3 linked regions of the Canis lupus familiaris genome follow. The protein of the gene in region 3 interacts with the protein of the main gene of each other region in a pairwise test. Links are inferred from orthologs where the notes say so. Each region holds a gene or a part of one and is shown on either strand. Other genes may lie near its edges.

Region 1 (3,958 bases), on a different chromosome or scaffold from region 3:
CCTGGGTAGCTCAGTTGATTAAGCATCTGCCTTTGGCTCAGGTCATGATCCCAGGGACCTGGGATTGGCCCGAGTGGGGCTCCCTGCTGAGGAGGATGTCTGCTTCTCCCTCTCCCTCTGCCCCTCCACCTCCCTCATGTTCTCTCTCTCTGTTCTCTTTCAAATAAATAAAATCTTTAAAAAGTTTTTATTCTTAAGTAATCTCTAAACCCAGTGTTGGGGTTCAAACTTATAACCCTGAGATCAAGAGTTACATGCTCTACTGACTGAGCCAGCCAACAGCACCATGCTGTTGAGCAACTTTTCATGTGTTTATTAACCATTCACATATCTTCCTTTATGAAGTGTCCATTCATATTTTTTGCCCAATTTTTTTTATTGGATTGTTTGCTTTATATTTATTGAGTTGTTGGAGTTCTTTATATATTCAATGTACAAGTCTTTGCCAGACACATCTTTTATGAATACTTTCTCCCAGTCTGTGGCATGCATATTTACTCTTAATTATATCTTTTGATGAGTGGAAGCTTTTAATTTTTATGTAGTATAATTTACTTATTCTGGTAAAAGTTTTGTAATTGTACCTTTTACAGTTAGGTCTGTAATCCACTTGAAACTAGAATTTTCATGGTGTGAAGTTTGGATCAAGGTTCATTTGTTTTCCATATGGATATCCAATTTTTCCAGCAGTGTTTGTTAAAAAGATTTTTCTTTTCCCCATTGATTGCTTTGTTACCTTTGTTGAAAATCAAATGACTGGAAAATATTTTTCTTGGCTTTCTAGTTTTGTTCCATTGGTCTATGTGGAATTGTGTATACTAATATACTTTGGAAAACTACATAAAGTGCTTATTAGATATTGGCATACATAGGATAAACCTTTCCTATACATGTTTTGCTAGCATTGGAGATCTTTCTTATAATCAACTTCTAGCTAATGAATGACATTTGGAGGCTTTTCAGCATGATTCTCTACATACTCCTATGGTACTTTTCCCCATCATGTAAGGTTGATGTTCACTTTTAATTCTTTTATATTTATTTTTAACTATGAGAAAGCTCATTTAGGGCAGAATTCTGAGAGTAGGAATAACAAAAATATTTAGACACCTTTTTTTTTTTAAGGTAAACGTAATTATCTTACAAATATCTAGGCAGAACTTCATCACAGTGTCCACCAAGAGATGCCTTGGGTCCTTGCAGTGAGAAGGAGAAGAGGAGGAGAAGATGTAACCACATACAAAATGTAATTTAGAACCTTGCCCATCATATCAGTATCTCTGGAATAAGTGCCGGTCCTATTCAAATATTTATTAACACTGTGCTGAATGATACAGAATTTTACCCTTGGGGAGTTTGCCAGTGTAGCTGAAGAATTTAAAAAATTCAAATAAACATAATACAAAGTAATATGTGATAATGTTTGCATTAAGGTCATTGGTAAAATTTAAAATATTTTTATTATAGTTGTTTGTGTTGTGGACCTGAATCATTATTCTGAATTATAATTTTAAGTTTTAGGTTAATGTAATTACAATAGGGTTTTGTTTTGTTTTTTTAAAATATTCAAATGTCCAGCTGGAAATTTGAAAATTTAGACTATTGTATCTTTTTGGTGCATTATAGGATATCCTGTGATGACCTCTTTCCACTAAATGCCAGTAGTCATCTTAATCTTTTTGACAACTAAAAAACATTCCCTTCAATTTTAACAATGTTCCCAGACTTTAACTTGCTTGTTGAAAACTAATGCTTTTAGATGTGTGAAAGATAAGGAAATTAAGTACTACGGAAAGAAATAATTATGCAACTTATTTGTAATTTTGCAGTGACTAAATTTTATTAAAGTGGATAATTTGAAGCTTTAGAAATTAAGATGGCTATATTGTATGTTCTTATTTCTCCTAGTAAAATGAATGAAAATAAACCTGGTGCCTCACAGAATCTTGGTAAGTAAAATATTTAAGACATTTTCAAAGCTAATTTAAAATATTAAGATATTTTACTCTTGCTTTTTTATTACAATAAAACTTTTTGGAATGTTGACTGAAGGGGCACCTAGGTGGGTCAGTGGTTGAGCTTCTGCCTTTGGTTCAGGTCCTGATCCCAAGGTCCTGGGATCGAGTACCACATCAGGCTCCCTGTGGTGAGCCTGCTTCTCCCTCTGCCTATGTCTCTGCCTCTCTCTGTCTCTCTCATGAATAAATAAAATCTTTAAAAAAAAAAAAAAAAGAATGCTGACTCAAAAAGTAGGAATGAGTTCCTTGATCCATGCTTTGTTCATACATCTGTATACAAAAGTATAATATTATGTGTATTCATTTCAACAAAAATCTGTTGTAAGAGGACAGTTTGCCAAATTTTTTTTGTATCCTCTATATGTATTTTTCAGATATGCTTTGTATCTGAATAAAACAGCATTATTTATTTAATAAACATTTTTTTTCATCTTTTTGTATGACTTTCTTACATAAGGAAAAATGCAGGTGAGACCATTTTAAACACAAAACTTAATATGAAAAGGAAAACTTATCTGAAGGTGCTCATAACAATATCAAATAGATTCAGAGACCTTTGTCTTTGTTGATTTCTTCATTTATAGTTTGTACAGTATATGTTAATTTGCTAACATGGAATGTGAGAAATTTAAATTCTTATTTTATACTCTTCTGCCACTACTCCCCTCATCTATCCTCTTTTTAAGATTTATTTTTTTATTCCTTCACAAATTAAAATATTACACTTAAAACTATCTTAACCTTCACTGATAGAGAATTATTTGTTAACTCTTTATCATCTCTCCATCATACTGGATGAGGAAATTTGTGCTCTTACTTCTCCCTCTGCTTTGCTTTTCTGCTTTTACCTAGCAGCTTCTATCAACTGTGCTAATTGTTCTGAAACTTAGTAATTCATGGACTACCTTCATATATTTGTGGACTGCAAACACTACCTTTACTGTTATTTACTTAATATTTTACCTAAGATTGGCTCAGTTTTTTACTTATATGAATGTGTTTATATCATTATTTTAATACAACCAGTATGATTTGCCATAGTTAAAAGGTGATCTTAATACAATGAAGTCAGAACAATGTTACTGAATTTTAAATATTAAAATTAAAAAACAACTAAGTGCAAATACAAACAAAAGCAGTCTACTTAAAAAAGCATGCCTGTCTATTTTGTATCCAGTGTCTCCATATACTGGGTGAAGGGAGGAAGGGAACAAATGGAAAAGCTGCTGGTCCACAGCATAATAGCAAATGCAGCTCCATCCAGCGCTCATCATGAGTACTTCTGTTCTTCTGTTCTGTAGTCTCAGCTAATTCATTATATTCCTTTTCCCCTTGATAGTTGCATGTACACTAGACGATCTACAGAACTAGAACTAAAAATATAGGCACTGGAGATGAAGGAATTAAGATGAGAGCTGCTGGTATAAGATGTCCAGTAAACAAATGGCAATTTGCTGGAGTTGATGTGGTCAGAAAGAAAAGGAGTTGAAATCTTTTGAAAGATTGACGAAAGGGCTTTCGTTTGTGGCTTATCTTATTAACCTGTAGTGAGGGAGGGCAAATATAGAGGAGGTATTTTACAACATTAAATATTATTAGCTCATGACGTTTTTTTCCAGTCCTGGAATCATTTTGTGAGTAGCTTGTTAACGAACATACCATTTCATGTATAACATCCATTCTTGATTACATGTATTAGTTAAAGGTAAATAAGACTAACTGCTAAATAGGTAAATGCCCAGGTCTTACTGGTTTAGCACAACAAAAGTTTATTACTTCCTTATGTTACTATTCAGTGTGTGGTTTGGTTAGGGGAGTTGGAATAGATGGGGAGTTTCTGCTCCATGCAGAGATTCAAGCTCCTTTCATCTTGTATTGGTTTGCTGCCTTGAGATTCTCAGTCTTTTCTCTTCAGCTAGTGATTTTCTTATTGTTTTATT
Region 2 (4,056 bases), on a different chromosome or scaffold from region 3:
AACCGACAAACAAAAACACCACATAACAATGAATGCCAAAAAAAAAAAAAAAATGAATGCCAGCATTTTCCAAATGTCTGAAGACCAGACGGGCCACACATTTTAATAGCAGCCAGGATGGGAAGACCTCTGACCTCTGAAGGCCATACACATCCTCCATCTCTCTCTCTCTCTCTCTCACACACACACGCACACACACACACACACACACACACACACACTCCTTTCAGTGGCTTGAACTTATATACAACCATGGAAAAAAAGGGAGGGTTGGGGAAGTGCTGAGCCAGCTGAGAAAACCTAGAATTGACAAATTTCTACTACCAGAAGGAATTAGGGCCTGGGAGAGAAAGCAATTGAAGCTGTAGAAGAAGAAAGCCACCTTTGTGGGCAGATCTGAATTCTAAGTCCCCAGAGTCACACTCCCTACAAATGTTTGTTGATTGAATGAATGAACCAATTGTGTTGGGGGAAGGAAAATGTGTTGCATGCAGCCAGTTCCTTGGTAGAGCAGGCCTGGCTGTTCTCCAGGGAAAAATAGTAATTACTCAAAAGAGTATCTGCTCTCTAGCCCTCGCTCAGTGCTTATCTGTTGTTCCTTGAGCAGGTCGCAAGGTTCGTTAGGACTCGGTTCTCTGATCTGTAAAATGGGCATAATGAAATCTGCCCCGCCTTCCTCTTATCAGGAGAACAGATGGAGATAAGGTATAGGAAGTTGCTGTACATGGACTGTCAATTAGGACATGTGGATCCCCTCGGTCTTGGGATTCAAGAAGCAAGAGTAAATGAGCTCAAGGATGAGAGTTGTGGGGTACCCCTCTCCTCCACCAAAAGGTCTTAAGAGCCCACAGGGAGCAGTGACCAAGTTTTCCCTGCGACCACAGTAGTGCTACTGGGAGGCTTCCGAGGACTGCACTCTCCACATCACAGAGCATACTTCACCGGGAAGAAATTCTCGGGGCACGAAACAGATTTATTTTCATTGTGAAATCGTCCGTCTGCTATGCAACAACAAATTAAGCTCTGGGTGACTATTCCCGTAAAACACGTCCTGTGCTCAGCGCTGCTATTATGGGGTGGATCGCCGAGGTAAAGAATCAATTAAAACTCTGACACATTAAATGGAGCTCAAAGACCTGTTTCACAGGTTTCCCCAGAGGAAAATAATCACGTTGCATTATGCTTTGGGAGCCGATCGAGGCAAGAGTCCTGAGACAGGTTCTGGGGTTTACCAGACAGACTGCGGCCTTTCTAAGTCATTCTCGAAGCGCCACTCGCAGCGTTAGGGCATTCCACGCTCCCTTCGTCCCGGGGCACCATGGTCGAGCAAGAGGGATTATCGTCCTGCGGGCATCCTTCTCCGGAAAACCGTAAGTTTCCTGGAAACAAAGCATTTAAAGAAATGGTGGAAATATTGCGGTGTTTGCATTCACGCCCATTCTGGAATGGAAGCAAATGTCAAGCAAGGAAAACCAGAGGCCTAATAAAACTGAATATCCTTTCTATTTTTATAATAGGGCTTTGCCACCCAAAGGGGGGTCATGGTTTAGAAGGTCTGTTTCCAGAGAAGTTCTAGGATTTCAAGGGAAGCCTCACAAGAGAAAAGGAGAAAGAAGAAAGAAAGAAAGAAAGAAAGAAAGAAAGAAAGAAAGAAGGAAGGAAGGAAGGAAGGAAGGAAGGAAGGAAGGAAGGAAGGAAGGAAGGAAGGAAAGAAAGAAAGAAAGAAAGAAAGAGTTAATGCTAGAATGGGAATAATGGGAATAACGTTTGTGGTCGCACTGCTCAAACCATGTTTCCATGACAGCCGGTAGGAATGTTAACGTTAAGAACCTCGTGTGTGCTGGGCTAAGTCAGACATCTGTGTAAACCATCTTCGATCTCAGTGCCTGAGTAACTTCTGTGCCTCAACCTGAAAGAGGAGAAGAGATGTGGAAGTTCAGGCGGTGTCTTTTCAGCAGTGTGGCCTGCAAATGAGCTTCACAGCAATAAAGAACCGGACGAGGCCAAAGCAAGGCGAGTGTCAGCAGTGACCATTGCCCAGGGGACAGGTTGCGGCCTGCCAGCGCCACAGGCGTGGCAGGAAACGGTCGGGGGCGGGGGGGGGGGGGGGGGACCCAGCTAACCCCTGACTTTAGGGGCTCACTCAAAAGCAGAGAAAAGGCAACGCGAGGGTGCAGTGTAAATGTCCCACTTGCTTTTAAGATATTTTCCCCCCAGGAAAGCGAGAGAGACAGAAAGAAAAGGAAACTCGGAGGGTTAGGACAAGACGAAGCCTGCCCTTGACGTGCTCGGCTTTGGTTCAGAACAGGACATTTTTCAGAGGAAATGCTCTCATGGTGCAGGAATCCGTTCGGTTAGGAATGTAAACTGTGTGACAACTCTGTCACGAAGTCAACCGCCAGTAGCTCTGCTTCTTCCTTTTTTCAGGATGAGGAGGTGAGAAGGAGGTGGGATACCCTCTTTTTAATCAAGCGCGCTACTCACTAGAACTTTTCATAAAGAAAGACCTTTTGTTCTTTGCTCACGTTGCTGCCTCCATCCTTAAGTTCCCCTTTATTGCTTGGGGGCGGGGGGGGGGGGGAGAAAACTTTTTTACAGAATAATATGTACCGGGTGCACAAATGCTTTCCTAATCTTTGTGGAACAGAGGTCTCTCACAGCTACTGAGGGGAGCTCAGAATGTGCTGGCACCTTGGGATCTTGGGGTCTTGCCAAGGTCCTTGGGGCTGCAGGAATAGAGGGTGCCCTGCATTCTGGCCTCCCTCTCAACTCTGTCTCCTCAAAGGGGTACCCCAACCCCATTGAGTTCACAGGAAAAACAGTGCCCATTGCTTTAAAGGAAACCAAAAAATTGAGTATCACTAAAATATGCAACCTTTTCATTCGACCGAGAAAGGACTCTAACTTGCCAGAGAATTATAATGAGTTAGCTAAAGGCAAATCAGCAATAGACGCCAGGCATATGGATGACTGGTTCTAACTGGTTCTACTACACTGGTGTTCCCTTCCCCTTGTCCAAAGGAGTCGGCAGGCTCTTCTTCACCTCACCCACTCTCCATCTCCACTTAGCTCGTTACTCATATTCAAAGCTTTACCGCATACACCACATTTTCCTCAAGGATAAAACTGTATTTAGTCCTCCTAGAGTCAATCCAGTTCCACAAATATTTTATTTTATTTAAGATTTTATTTATTTATTCATGAGAGACACGGGGGTGGGGGGTTGTGCGGGCAGAGACACAGGCAGAGGGAGAAGCAGGCTCCATGCAGGGAGCCCGACGCAGGACTCGATCCCGGGACTCCAGGATCAAGCCCTGGCCCAAAGGCAGGCGCTAAACCACTGAGCCACCCCGGGATCCCACAAACATTTTACTGAGCACCTTCTCCATGAAGTCCTAGGCCCCCCTGAGATTCACAGATGAAGAAGACACAATCCCTGCTCTCAGATACGTATATAGCCTGTTATGATTTTTTTTTAATTTTTTTTAATTTATTTATTTATGATAGTCACAGAGAGAGAGAGAGAGAGGCAGAGACACAGGCAGAGGGAGAAGCAGGCTCCATGCACCGGGAGCCCGATGTGGGATTCGATCCCAGGTCTCCAGGATCGCGCCCTGGGCCAAAGGCAGGCACCAAACCGCTGTGCCACCCAGGGATCCCTAGCCTGTTATGATTAAAGGCATCTTCTAATTGTACTATGACAGAAATTCACCTGAATATATGGTGCTATTGAAACACAAGAGAAAGGAGAGGAAGACAGTCTGGCAGTTCCTCAAAACATTAAATATCGAATTATCATGTGACCCAGCAATTCCACTTTTAGGCCTATACCCAAAAGAATTGAAAACAGGTACTTAGACAAACACATGTATATGCTGCACTATTTACAATAGCCAAAGATGGAAGCAATCCAAATGTCCACCATCAATAGGTGAATGGGGAAACAAAATGTGGTATATTCATTCCATGGAATACTATTCAGCCATTAAAAAGAAATGATTTCAAGGGCACCTGGGTGGCTCAGTGGTTGAGCATCTGCCTTTGGCTCAGGGCATG
Region 3 (3,511 bases):
GGGATCGGGGCTAGCGGAATTGGGTGTGAAGGCTGCACTCATGCCCCCTTCCTCAGCTTCTCCTGGCCCTGGCCGACAGCAGCATCTCCACAAAGGGCACCAGGAGTGGCACCTTCGTCATGTACAACTGTGCCCGGCTTGCCACGCTATTTGAGGGGTACAAGCACAGCACAGAACAAGGTCTGTACCCCACTTTTCCACCTGTGAGCAGTCTCGATTTCTCACTGCTACAGGATGAGGTGAGTGTCCTCCTGGGTAGCTAGGCACCTGCAGGAGGTTGGGACCTCCCCTCCTAGCACCCTTCTCCCCCCCACCCCCACCCCCAGGGCGAGTGGCTGCTGCTCTTCAATGGCGTGCTCCCTTTCCCAGACCTGCTGGGCCAGACAGCAGCCCTGGCATGTGCAGCCTCAGGGCTTCACGTGACTGCGCGCACTGAGACGGTGAGCCAGAGAAGACTGGGACAGACACTGCACACTCGATGCTTTATTCTGGGCTGGGCACGAGATCAAAGAGACCGGCCAGTGACTCAGTCTCTGTCTCTAGATGTGCAAGTTCCTGGTCCAGCTCAGCATGGATTTCAGCTCGTACTATAACCGAGTACACATCCTAGGGGTAAGTACACAACAAGAGGGGGTGGGAGATTGCAGGGGGGGCAAGGGAAGCAAAGAATGAGACCAGCAGGCCCCTTCTCTCCTCCAGGAGCCTCGACCACACCTGTTTGGTCAAATGTTTGCCCGTCTCCAGCTTCTGCGGGCTGTGCGTGAGGTGCTCCACACTGGCCTAGCCATGCTGGGTCTCCCTCCACTGAGCCACATCTAAGGCCACAGAGACCCCAATATCTAGGAATGTTTACAAAATCTTCACCTGGAAAAAAGATATAAAGATTATAGTAGAGACCTGAAGCCAAAATAAATTGTTTCTGTTACATACAAAGCCCAGCCCCAGGGTGTATTTTTGGCCTGCCGGAACAGCACCTTACTCACCTCTAGCTCCTGCTCTGAAGTCAGGAACCCGCGGCTGCCGCCTCCTCCTCTCAAGGCACACTGGGCATGAGCACAGACGGTCACTCCTGTTCCATTCTGTCTGCGAGCAGGTCCCATGCCCAGCACGCCGGCCACCGCGGGATACCTTAATCATACCAGTTGTAAACCTCAAGCCCCTGGCCCCCAAGAGCACAGCGGTGGCCAAACTCAGGGCTTACAGGCCAGCAGTCCATGTCTGCCACATCTGGGACATGGTACACAGTACTGTTCATGAAGGTGGGCTCACCGTGACCCAAACGCCAGAAGGTCAGCCGTTGGTCAATGGAGGCTGAGACCATGAGGCTTGGGCTTAGGATCTTAAGGCCTGTCACATGGGCAGCATGTGCACAGGGGACGGAATATTCCTCTAGCACATGCAACTGGGGTACCAGATCACCCCCCATGGCTTCTTCCAGCTCTGGCGCCTCCATGGCCAGCACAAAGACATGGAGGGAGCCGTCCTCACTGCCACTAGCCACAAGATGGCCCTCACGTGTGGGCAGGGTGTGTAGGCTGTTGACACCACAGCTATGAGCCTGGACGGTCAGGCAGGGGGTACCCAGGCCTGGAGGAAGAAGATGGTTGTCAGGGCCCAGCCTGCCCCATGGCTGAAAACAAAGTGGGAGGCAGGAGGGACAGCCTTGGCTGCACACCAGCTACTCACGGTAGGGAAGCCCGGGGTCGGCCGGAGGCTCCAGGGCACCAGAGCCATGGTCCAGCACGGTAGTGAGATCCCAGAAGGCCAAACTGCCATCGGTGGCTGCGCTGCACAGGAACAGCCTCCTGGGAAGCAGGGAAGGGCAGCTGGGTCAGTGAAGAAGATGGAAAACAATGGGAGCCCCTGCCCAGCCACCATGCAGCCCCTCTCACCGCCGCTGGTTGGGTGCCTCATGTGTAAAGGAATGGACCTTGAGGACACACCGCTTGTGGTGGAAGGTTTCGGCCAGGAGCTGCAGCCGCCGCCCTGAATCCTGCAAAAGGAAGAGCCTGGGGGGCGGAGGGTGGCTCAGCTCAGAACCCATTCTGGACAACCTTCCAACCTTTTTGTCTTCGCCCAGGGCCCTCTGCTCTCACTCACCTCACTGCTCCATCACTGCAGGCTGCAGCCACAAGGGGGCCGAGACCAGGCCGGTCGAGCTCACAAACAGCTAGGGACATGTACCTGCAGAGAAAACACCCGGACAGCAGTCAGGGGAAGCCTGGGAGCAGCTGCAAGGGGCTTGCCCTGCAGGACACCACCCCATGCTCCTGCCTCGCAGTACACACGTCACCTGGTCTCTGGGTCCACCTTGACCATCCGGTGCCGATTGCGCTGCCGGTCCCAGTACTCATCTAGCCGGTGGGATGAAAGATGCATGACGTGGCAGGCGAGGCGGCTTGGGGTGCTGGGGTCCGGGGTGACCATGATGCTGAAGCAGTGCATCTCAGCCCGGCCCCCCGCAGACACCACATGAGCAGTCAGGCCTGGCCGAGGATCCTGAGGGCCACCTGGGGTACCAATACCCCACACAGCCAGTGCACGCACGGAGGAGATATGGTTACAAACAGCTGTAAGTGCATGGGCCGAGCCAGTGGCTGTGGGGAGCGCCAGGACACAGACGGTAGTGTCCTCACTACACGTGATCACAATGTCAGTCAGACCTGGCCCCTCGCTGCCAGGCTCCAGGTGGTCAGGCTGCATGAAGCTGGGCACCTCATATTCAGGCCCCAGAGTGATGGTGCCCACACGCTTCACACAAGTGATCTCACGGCCATGCAGGCTCTCCCGGAGAATCACATGTGGCCGGGTGCAGCCACCCAGCGCCCGGTAGAGCATGACATCCCCATCTTTGAGGTAAGCAAAGGCCATAGCTGCCTCAGTATCAGAGAAGGCCCAGGAGCGGTGCCCTCCACCACAGTTGACGATGTGCAGCTTTTCATGTGACCGGGGACTCCACACCACAAACTCATTGGCATGGAAACCCAGGATGACCATACTCCCATCAGCCACCATGCGAAGCCCAGCCACCCAGTTCATGCCTCGACAGGACTTCTGCCTTAGGACTGGCTGCAGTTGGCCGCCTCTCACAAAGAGCTGGTAGTAGGCACCATCGCGCCCTGTAGTATACACGTAGCCACCGTGGCAGGTGACTGACGTCACACCCTGCTTCCCATGCAGAGAAGGGAGGGTGGACACAGGGCCCCACTCAGTCAAGGCAGTTTCACCCCCACCACTGCCACTACCTGCTCCAAGTGCTCCAGTGACAGCTCCGGCCTTGCCCCCAACCCCAAGATCCTTGAGCAGAGCTGGTCTGGAGGGAAATAGCAACACAGAGCCCCGGCGGTCCCCACACACCAGGAAGTCACCAGGGGGCAAGAAGGCACTGCATGTGTGCCATCTCTGCTTGCTTGGAGGCAACAGGTACCGGCAACGTTCCTTTACAAAGATGGCTTTGCCAGTGGGCGCGGCTGTGATTTCCAGGCAAGCCACCACACCACCAGGGCCCGAT

Evidence for each region. The genes of interacting proteins can lie anywhere in the genome.
Region 1: the proteins of WDR6 (region 3) and G2E3 interact in a two-hybrid assay, tested with the Homo sapiens proteins (2 studies listed by BioGRID and IntAct). The two-hybrid records come from large-scale screens. The link is inferred for Canis lupus familiaris from reciprocal best matches to the Homo sapiens genes WDR6 and G2E3.
Region 2: the proteins of WDR6 (region 3) and PTPN3 interact in binary tests that used the Homo sapiens proteins (3 or more experiments, as listed by UniProt). The two-hybrid records come from large-scale screens. The link is inferred for Canis lupus familiaris from reciprocal best matches to the Homo sapiens genes WDR6 and PTPN3.

What each region holds. Positions count from the first base shown.
Region 1 is NC_049229.1:10,064,081-10,068,038, forward strand, and holds the start of G2E3 (G2/M phase-specific E3 ubiquitin-protein ligase), read left to right. Parts: upstream 1-1,154; 5' UTR 1,155-1,184; coding exon 1,185-1,246; intron 1,247-1,908; coding exon 1,909-1,949; intron 1,950-3,958. UniProt on the Homo sapiens protein: E3 ubiquitin-protein ligase which accepts ubiquitin from an E2 ubiquitin-conjugating enzyme in the form of a thioester and then directly transfers the ubiquitin to targeted substrates. Essential in early embryonic development to prevent apoptotic death.
Region 2 is NC_049232.1:64,992,365-64,996,420, reverse strand, and holds the start of PTPN3 (tyrosine-protein phosphatase non-receptor type 3), read left to right. Parts: upstream 1-1,252; 5' UTR 1,253-1,318; coding exon 1,319-1,370; intron 1,371-4,056.
Region 3 is NC_049241.1:40,554,866-40,558,376, forward strand, and holds the end of WDR6 (WD repeat-containing protein 6), read right to left. Parts: coding exon 2,294-3,511; intron 2,185-2,293; coding exon 2,101-2,184; intron 2,010-2,100; coding exon 1,893-2,009; intron 1,806-1,892; coding exon 1,687-1,805; intron 1,588-1,686; coding exon 1,130-1,587; 3' UTR 984-1,129; intron 934-983; exon of another isoform or gene 865-933; 3' UTR 820-864; coding exon of another isoform or gene 700-819; exon of another isoform or gene 613-699; coding exon of another isoform or gene 544-612; 3' UTR 457-543; downstream 1-456. Other genes in the region: DALRD3 (DALR anticodon-binding domain-containing protein 3), read left to right, coding at 57-239, 327-440, 544-612, 700-819. UniProt on the Homo sapiens protein: Together with methyltransferase FTSJ1, methylates the 2'-O-ribose of nucleotides at position 34 of the tRNA anticodon loop of substrate tRNAs. Required for the correct positioning of the substrate tRNA for methylation.